Macaca mulatta: one gene and its partner. The protein of the gene in region 2 interacts with the protein of the main gene of each other region in a pairwise test. Links are inferred from orthologs where the notes say so. Each region holds a gene or a part of one and is shown on either strand. Other genes may lie near its edges.

What was found. The genes of interacting proteins can lie anywhere in the genome.
Region 1: the proteins of MAPK9 (region 2) and WDR62 interact in binary tests that used the Homo sapiens proteins (3 or more experiments, as listed by UniProt). The two-hybrid records come from large-scale screens. The link is inferred for Macaca mulatta from reciprocal best matches to the Homo sapiens genes MAPK9 and WDR62.

Annotation. Positions count from the first base shown.
Region 1 is NC_133424.1:47,311,010-47,315,667, reverse strand, and holds the start of WDR62 (WD repeat-containing protein 62), read right to left. Parts: upstream 3,097-4,658; 5' UTR 2,653-3,096; coding exon 2,476-2,652; intron 1-2,475. Other genes in the region: THAP8 (THAP domain-containing protein 8), read left to right, coding at 3,398-3,480. UniProt on the Homo sapiens protein: Required for cerebral cortical development. Plays a role in neuronal proliferation and migration.
Region 2 is NC_133411.1:189,305,289-189,309,931, forward strand, and holds the start of MAPK9 (mitogen-activated protein kinase 9), read right to left. Parts: upstream 3,026-4,643; 5' UTR 2,822-3,025; intron 1-2,821. UniProt on the Homo sapiens protein: Serine/threonine-protein kinase involved in various processes such as cell proliferation, differentiation, migration, transformation and programmed cell death.

The DNA of each region.
Region 1 (4,658 bases), on a different chromosome or scaffold from region 2:
AGTCCCAGCTACTCAGGAGGCTGAGGCAGGGGAATCGCTCGAACCCGGGAGGTGGAGCTTGCAGTGAGCTGAGCTCTAGCCACTGCACTCCAGTCTGGGTGACAGAGCAAGACTCCGTCTCAAAAAAAAAGAAAAAGAAAAAAAAAAGGAACCAAACAGATGAGGAAACAGAGGCCAAGAGGGGTTACCCATCCAGGAAGGGGTAGCGCCAGGATTCCAACATAAACAACCAAGCCATGGCACTCATGTTGTCTTATCTGTCGATCAGCATTACTGGGCATTGGTATGAATGGTCATTTTTAGACTAGGTCTTTGCAAGACAGATCAACTCCGTACTGCCAAACAAGAAAAATAAATATTACCCCAAATATACAGTTATAGTATCAGTATTAGCTAACATGAATAGAGTACTTGCCATGTGCCAGTGTTGTTCTGAGTGCCTAGGATATGTGACCTCATTTAATCCTCACAAATACCCTATGAAAGATTTCTACATCATTCTCATTTTACAGATAAGAAAACTGAGGCACAGATAAGTTCATAACTTGGCGGGGCACAGTAGCTCACTCCCGTAATCCTAGTACTTTGGGAGACTAAGTCAGGCAGATCGTTTGAGCTCAGGAGTTCAAGACCAGCCTGGCCAACATGGCGAGACCCTCTGTCTCTACCAAAAAACAAAACAAAATTAGTCAGGTATGGTGGCATGCACCTGTAGTCCCAGCTACTCAGGAGACTTGAGGTGGGAAGATCACCTGAGCCCATGGAGGCTGAGACTGCAGTGAGTCGAGATCACTCCACTGCACTACAGCCTGGATGACAGAGTAAGACCCCATCTCAAAAAAAAAAAAAAAAAAAAAAAGAAAAAGAAAAAGCAAAGTTCATAAACTACCAGGAAGAACAGGACTAAAGTTTAAGCTCAGGCTGCCTGGGTCCAACCATACCAGTCTGTTCTCTTAGCCACCTTGCTATAATGCCTCTCTGAATTTGATATTGTTATATGTAGTTTAATAGCTCAAAAGGCACTTTCAGGAACATATAAGATAAAGGCTATGACGTATAGGGTGCTGGGTGAGAGATGAAGGTGGGTGTCTGCTTTAGAATGGGGTTCAAGAAGGCCTTTCCAGATAGCGACATTCAGGCTGAGACTTGAAGGATGGGAAGGAGCCAGCCAGGTAGATTGCAGCAAAAAGCCCAGGCTAAGGAGGCAGAAAAGAATATGGAGCCTCAGGAAAACCAAAAGCAGGCCAGTGTGACTGAACGTTGGTGACAGGGAGGACATGGGAGGTACAGCCAGAGCCCTATAGCCAGGAGTGGGCAGTATAACCACAGTGCAGGAGAAAGTCATGGGGCAGGAACAAGCTCCACCAGCAGCTACCAGGTATCCTCCCTTTATCTGGACTCTGTGCCAAGAAGATCACAAGTAAAATTTCACTTCTTTCCAATGCAATAGTATAATTTTTTTTTTTTTTTTTTTGAGACAGTCTTACTCTGTCGCCTAGGCTGGAGTGCAGTGGCGTGACCTCAGCTCACTGCAACCTCCGCCTCCTGGGTTCAAGGGATTTCTCCCGCCTCAGCCTCCTGAATAGCTGGGATTAAAGGAGTGTGCTAGCTCGGCTAATTTTTGTACTTTTTGTAAAGACGGGGTTTCACCATGTTGGCCAGGCTGGTCTTGAATTGATCTCAGGTGAACAGCCCACCTTGGCATCCCAAAGTGCTGGGATTACAGGCGTGAGCCACCGCGCCCTACCAATACTATGGTTCTTATCATCTCCATTTTATAAAAACAGATTTTGTGCCTACAGAGCTGGAAAACAATTTTTTTTAATTGCCGCTGTGCTAATGGAATTCCTTCTACCTACTGTGAAATCATTTCCTTCTGTGTTTCTGTCTCAAAATTTAGGGAACTGTTCTGTGCGCCCTCCTCCCCAGGCAGCACTGCGGAGATTTCTTTGTCATAGTTTTGAATGACAATATGGATTAAGAATCCCCACCTTGGTGAGGAAAAAGGATAGAGACCGCAGAAGGTGAGAGAAGGCGAGGTAGAAGCGAGGAAGAGTTGGGGCAGGTAACACTCTGGACTAAACCCTCGAAGGGACCTTAATGACCCAGCGGGGGCCAGGGCAGTGAGGCTGCAGTGAGCTATGATCGTGACGTCTAAAGGCGATAGAACGGGGGTTAAAGTATAGGAGGACTAGGCTGTGATTTGCAGAAACAAAATGCATTCCCCAGTGGTGGGAACCAGGGAGGAACCCAGGAATTACTCCAACGCTGAGGGTGGAGCCGGGAATGCAACGAGGAGAGGGAAAGTGGGAGGGGCCATGGCTAAAGGGGCGGGACTTAGGGGACGAAGCCAGGGAGGGAACAGCCTGAGGGGACTGGCCAGGGACTGATAGTCGGGGCCACAGTTCTCAGGACGGGACTAGGGGAAACCCAGGAGGCCTGGAACTGGGGTAGACATGACGAGCAGCTTCTCACCCGGTTCTGCACCGTCTCCTCGGAGGCCGTCGAGAGTCGCGTCCGCCGCCGGAGGCAGAGCGGTGGGGCGGGCGGCGGGGAGGACTGACCCCTCCGCGCCGGAACTCCCGCCATGACAGAGGGCAGCTTCTCCCCTGCATCGTTCCGCGCACAGCCTCCGGACCCTACGGCCGCCATCGTCACGCCGGAGCCGGGCGACCGTTACATCCCTTAACCGCCGCCGCCGCCACCGCCACAACCCACTGAAACAGCAAACAGCCGCGGGAAAGCCGGCGCCGCCGCCTATTGGACACCACAGGCCCGGCCTGGCCAACCGCAGGGCTGCCGGGCGGCGCTTAGGGCCAATGGGAGCGAAGAGGCGGAGCGAGTGCCTGGCTGGGCGGCTAGTGTACTGGATACCTGATCAAGAGTCGTGGGGTCTTTCATCCAGACTCCGTTTTCATTATTCGCTGAAACATACAGGTTTTAACTTTTACGAGGCTAAGGCCCCAGCTGCCTCACCTCGGTTTTTGCCGCCACCCAGAGGAACTATATGCGCTCCGACGGTCGCCCGGATATAGGCGTAGGGTGGAGCCGTAAGAGATTGACTGGCCAGTTGATTTGGTTGGCGCAGGCTCAGAAACGACGTGACGCCGCCCCTCTCCCCAACACGTGATGAAAGTCGGGGTGGAGAAGGGCAGGCTTTGCGCAGGCGTACAGTTCTCGCTATAGCCAATTCGCTACGTGACGAGGGCGTGACTGTGGCACTGGAGGGGCGCCTAATAGCCAGGCGCTCTCAGCGCTCTCCCCGGCACGTGACGAGTCTCCACGGACGTCATGTGAGGCAGGCGGCGAGCGCGCGGGCGGGGCGGGGTTCGGCGGCGCTCCACGAGAACCAAAGTGCAGCTGCTGACCCGGCAAAACTCAACGGGGCTGGACAGCCATGCCTAAGTACTGCAGGGCGCCGAACTGCTCCAACACTGCGGGCAGCTTGGGCGCAGACAACCGCCCTGTGAGCTTCTACAAGTGAGCGCAGCGCGGGGCGGGGCTTGAGGGAGGCGGGACCCTGGGAGGGGCGGGGCCCGAGCTTTAGTGAAGCTGTGCGGGCCTTCTGGTCTCGCTTGAGGGTGTTAGGAAGTGGGGTTAAAACGTGAGGAGATGGCCTTCCCGGCAGTGTCCACTGCACCTGCAAAGGTGCTGGCGTGGGAAACATCAGGAGTAGACGATTAACTACAGGTAGCGAACGAAGCGAGACGAAGAGGGAAACGGATGTAAAAAGTGAAGTCGGTGCAGGCTCTGTAAGAGCCTACAGATGCCCACTTGCCCTCCCCACGCATTTGAGCCATCTGAAACTCAGAGCATCCGAAACTGAGCTTGTGATCGCGTCTCCCCCAAAACCTTCCAGTCTGTCCTTAGTAGTTCCCTGATTGCAGCCAGAGGGAGCCTGTGAACACCTGAGTCAGATCAGCTCCCTCCTCTGCCCAGATCCCTTCCCTGACTCCCACCTCACTGTAAAAAATAAAGTGAGGCTGCAGCAGGTAGAAAGCAGGCCTGCAAAGTCCTACAGAGCTGGTTCCCTGATACCAGTGTGACTTCATCTCTTTCCTCCTGCCCTTCACTCCAGTAACACTGGCCTACTTCATGTTCCTGTAGCATAGCAGGCATGTTACTGCCCTGCTATCTTTGCCTGGGCCATTCCCTCTGATTTCAAAGTTCTTGCCTTTATTACTACCACCCTATGGACAACTGTAACTGACACCGAAACACACACACGGTTCTCTCTGTCTTCTGCTTTATTTTTCCCTTTAACACATCACTGTCTGCATATCGCATTTTCGATGTATGCATTCCTTATCTCCCCCACTAGAATGTCACCTCAATCAAGCCAGAGGTTTTGTCTTTCTTTGTCTTTCTTGTTTCCTCTTGTTTGTGTCTCCAACCTCTAGAACAGTGCCTGGCACATAGTAGGTGCTTAGTAAAGATCTGTTGGGTGGATTTGATGAATGCATTTCAGATGGGCTCTCCAGGAAAGCCAGCAGTCCATGTCTCATGGATCCTTTGAGGGACCCTGGTATAGGGCCAAAGGGATTAGGGGGAACTTTAAGCCTGTATATGACTCTGGCAACTGTTGATTAATTCAGCAACTTTTTGAGTATTTCTTGGAGAAGCAAGTAAGCCCCTGCTGGACACAAAGAACCCTGACA
Region 2 (4,643 bases):
TATGGAAAAATGGCACCTTCCTAACCAAGTGTCAGGTATAACTACTGTATGTATGTAGACCAAAAATAGTTGCCCTATTGGCAAATCAATAGTCTTAAGAAGAAAAAAAATCTGGTCTCTGTTTTATGTCTCACGAAAACTGGTCTAGTCACTATTAACTGGTTTGTCTGGTCCTTTTCTTTATCCAGAAAATTAAAAATATTTTATCTTAGACACATTCAAGAATCCCCTCTAATGTTTATTCAGGGAACCAAATAAACAGATTTTAGTCTGTGAACAAATTAATGTTCTGGCACCCTGAAAATTAAATTACCAGGAAAATCAAAGCTGTCCAGAGAAGTCTATGCAAAAATAGTATTGTTTTTAACTCTGCAGGATCCTTTTGAAGAAAAATTTAAAAGTTAAATCAAGGAAAACATTAAATAGATTGGTGGTCATTCTTCCAGAAGAAGTTAAAAGCCAAAAGAGAATACTCAGAGCTGAGGGACTCAGGAAAGAATCCTTATCTAGGGAGAGATCTGGGTTCGGATTCCACTCACCAGCTGCTTGCTAAGAAGCAGACTACTCAAACTCCTGAGCTTCCGTTTCCACAGGGCTCCAGTTACAATCAAATGAGTATCTGGGCTGGCACCTGGGCAAACAGGGCCTGACTCTCCTGGCCTTAGGCTACCTTTCCTGCTCTCCTCACAGCTCCTCCCTCCCACACAGCCACTCCTGGAGGATGACAATCTGCAACCAAGCTGAATGAATCTGTATTTGGCTTGGCTCACAGCATTTAAAAAAAAAAAAAAATTAATTAGCTATTGCCAACATTTAAAAATCGGAACAAATGTGGAGTGCTGCCTTCTGTTTTAGAGACAGGGTCTTGCTCTGTCACCCAGGCTGGAGCACAGTGGTGCGATCATAGCTCACTGCAGGCTCAAAATCCTGGGCTCATGGGATCCTTCCACCTCAGACTCCCAAGTAGCTAGGACTACAGGTGGATGCCACCACACCTAGCTAATTTTCAAAAATTTTTTGTAGAGACAGGGATCTCACTGTTGCCCAGGCTGGTCTTGAACTCCTGGCCTGAAGTGATCCTCCCACATCAGCCTCCCAAAGTGTCTGAGATTACAGGCGTGAGCCATGGCACTAGTCAAATTCCACCTTCTTCTAGAAAACTGCTGGGTAAGGTTCCAGTTCTTCAGAGTCCCCACGACTCTGTGCCCTTACACCTGGCCCTCCAGACTGATTCTCAACTCCACAGTGGGCTATGGTCCTTACCTGGCCCTGCTCCTTCATACCTCTGCCTCTCCCTGCCTAGCAAATTTCTCATCACCCTCAAGGCCCCCCAGCATCACCTGTCACCTCCTCCACATTTCCATGGCATAGCCCCTCCACGACAGCAAGGGTTGCACAGTCCTGGAACTAAGTGTCTGCATGCCTGCCTTCTCTACTGGGCTCCTGGGCTCTCTTCGGAAAGGGACCCTGTTGCTATCTGCCTTGTGTCCCTAGGGCCTAGCAGAAAGCATGACCTAGATAATGCAGAATTCAGTAAATGTCTCCTGCATGTGTGGAAGAAAGCTAGAGCTAAACCATTATAAAAATGTGAGATTTTACATCACAGCTTGTTCCAACGGTTAGCAATTAAAGGGGTCAAGGACACCAAAATGTTTCACAAAATAGAACAAGCTTCCATCTGCTTACAAGTTTCACACGTTAATCAGAAGTCACTAAATTAACAGATAAAGCAGAGACAACAGGGAGACTGGGCCATTTCTTTGATCATTCATTCATTCATTGAGCTGATACTACTGAATACTTACTGTGTGCTTTCTAAGTACTGGGGATAAAGCAGTGGACAAATCAGACAGCTACCTGTTTTCACAAAGTTACATCCTAGTCGGGGAGACAGAAAATAAACAGGCAAATAAATAGAAACGTTTCAAACCAGGTAAGAGCTAGGAAGGAAATTTTTAAAATAATGAAATAGCATGACTAAGGGAAGAAAGAGGGTGGTCGAGGAGGGCCTCACCCAAACCGAGACATCTGGCCAGAGGAAGGAGCAGAAAGAGCTACTTGTGCCAAGATCACAGACAACTCCAAAGACGAGGAAACAGCAAATACAAAGGTCCTGGGGCAAATGCGGGCTGGCATGTTCAAGGCGGGCGAGATGAGTGGACTGGGGCAGCAGTCTTCTGGGAGAGGGGTGTGGTGGTAAGGGATGTGGGCTGGGTCCCCTCTGGCACTGCTGGACACTGAGTGTGCAATGACAAGGCAAGGGAGGCGTGCGTGGGGAGGCGGGAGGCTGGGCGGATGAGGAGGGGGTTCCTACACCACTCACACCGGCAAGGGCCAGCACCCTGCCCAATCTTCCACAAATGTTCACCGGCGTCCTGCCCAGGCGTCTGCATACACTCACACAGCCTGACAACAACCCTGTCCAGAAGAGGCATTTCCCCACCTTCCTGAAGGCAAAACCGCGGCAGAGCGAGGGTCAGTGCCTTGGTCAAGGTCGCGGGGACGCGACCCCGGGCCCCTGGGCCCCCGGCGCAGGAGTGCAGCTGTTCGCCCCACCTCCGCGAGGGATGGCGCCCGCAGACCCCACGGGCAGGTCGGCCGGGCCAGGCCGGGGAGCAGGCCCGCAGCCCGGAGCCGCTGACAGCCGGGCGGAAGGGGGCGCCTGCGGCATCCCCGAGCACAGGGGCGACGGCTGCGGCTGCCAGGGCCCCGCAGCCCCCGGCCCACCCCGAAACCCCGGCCGCGCGGTTCCCCCGCCGCCCCTCCCCGCGGGCCCGGCCCGAGCAGCCGCCGCCAGGCCTAGCCCGCCCGCCGGGCTCACCTCGCCTCCCCGCCGCCGCGCCACGGGGAGAGGGCGGGCGGGCGGACTGGCGGCGCTGCGTGCTAGTCACTCCTGGCTCCGCGGCCCCGGCTCCGCCACCGGCCCGCCCCGCCGCGCTCCGCCCCGCCGCCGCCGCCGCCGCAGTGGGTGTGAGGGGCGCCGGGGCGCTGCGACCCTTCCGGTCCCGCTCCCTTCTCTGCCGCTGCCGCCGCCGCGGCGCCCGGTCTGACCGACCCTCGGGCCGACCAATCAGCGCGCGGAGAGCGGAGCAGGCGCGGCCAATGGCGCCTGGGGGGCGGGCCGCTGGAGGTGGTGTGGGCGGGGCCGGGGGCCGGGTCGGGCGCCCGAGGTCCTGGGCCGGGGTTCCGTGGGTTCGACGCCCCCGGGCCTTTCAGTGGCGTCGGCCGACCGGCCATGGCGCTCGGTTGCGCGCCGCGCACGCGGTGAGCTGGAGACGCAGGCACTGCGCGTCCCACCAGCTGAGCCCGCTGTCCGCGCGAGGGGGCCGCAGCTCGGGGGAGAGGGTGGCCCGGAGGACCGGGAACCGGGCTGGAGGCGCGCGGGGCTCACACCGCGGGGTCCGCGGGGAGCCGGGCCTCGCCTACAGGTGCAGGCTCGTGGCGGCGAGGCGGCCTGGAGCAGCACGGGAGGCCGCCCGTTTCGGGGAGAGCCCGGGGCGATCGCGGGGAGAGGCCGGCCTGGCGTCCGGGAGCCCGGCGTGCTAGGGCCCGGGAGGCGGGGCTGGCCTTGTACTCGGTTGCTCGCTGCGGCGCCGCAGGAACGGGTCTGTGGGGGTGTGGGTGAGGCCAGAAGTCGGGTTGGAGAAGGGGAGGGGGTGCGAAGAGATGGCCGTGTGTAGACAGGTTACCCGATGGGTCGGTGACGCAGGAGGGGAGTGCGCTTGGTGGCGGGGTGACTTAGTTGACAACATTTAAAAATTGGGAGGTGCGGCAGGGCGCGGTGGCTCACGCCTGTAATCCCAGCACTTTGGGAGGTCGAGGCGGGTGGATCACCTGAGGTCAGGAGTTCGAGACCAGCCTGGCTAACCAGGTGAAATCTGTCCCTATTAAAAATACGAAACAATTAGCTGGGCGTGGTTGCGGGCGCCTGTAATCCTAGCTACTCGGGAGGCTGAGGTAGGAGAATCACTTAAACCCGAGAGGCGGAGGTTGCAGTGAGCCGAGATTGCACCATTGCACTCCAACCTGGGCGACAGAGTGAGACTCTGTCTCAGAAAAAAAAAAAAAGGGAGGTGCTCAGTCAAGTCTCTGAGAGGGGTGGGGGGCGGGGCGAGGAGTCCCTTGCTCAGGGCCCCCTAGGGACTGGGACCCGTTGACTCTTGAGTTGCTTTTGAGGCTGGATCAGGTACCAGCGGCCTGGGGGTCGTACAGGATGGGAGAGGCCGGGACTTGGGATGTTGCCAGATCTACGTTGAAAAGTGAAGCAGGAAGCGCGGCACGAGGCTATGCACATGGGGAAAACCGCGGAGAGCCGGGCTTTGGGGACTGGAAGAGTGGGAACAGTGGTTGACAAATGGTGAGTGGGGGGTAGAACAGCAGAAACACAATACCAGTATCCACGGAGTGGCCAGGGCCAGAGTTGGGAGAAGGAACAGGACTCTGCAGATGGGGAGGGCAAGGGGCTGGGTGGTGTGAAGGGTGGTTGCAGACTTTGGGGAGGGCAGCTAGCCTGTGACCCAGGTTCCAAGGGCACTGAGGGCTGGGCCAGGCCGCTTGGAGGCACCAGAGCCTCAGAGGAGGGGTGGGGTAGAGGAACGGATGCAGCATGGTGTCCTCCTTGGCCACCAGAGGGAGTTTGCTAA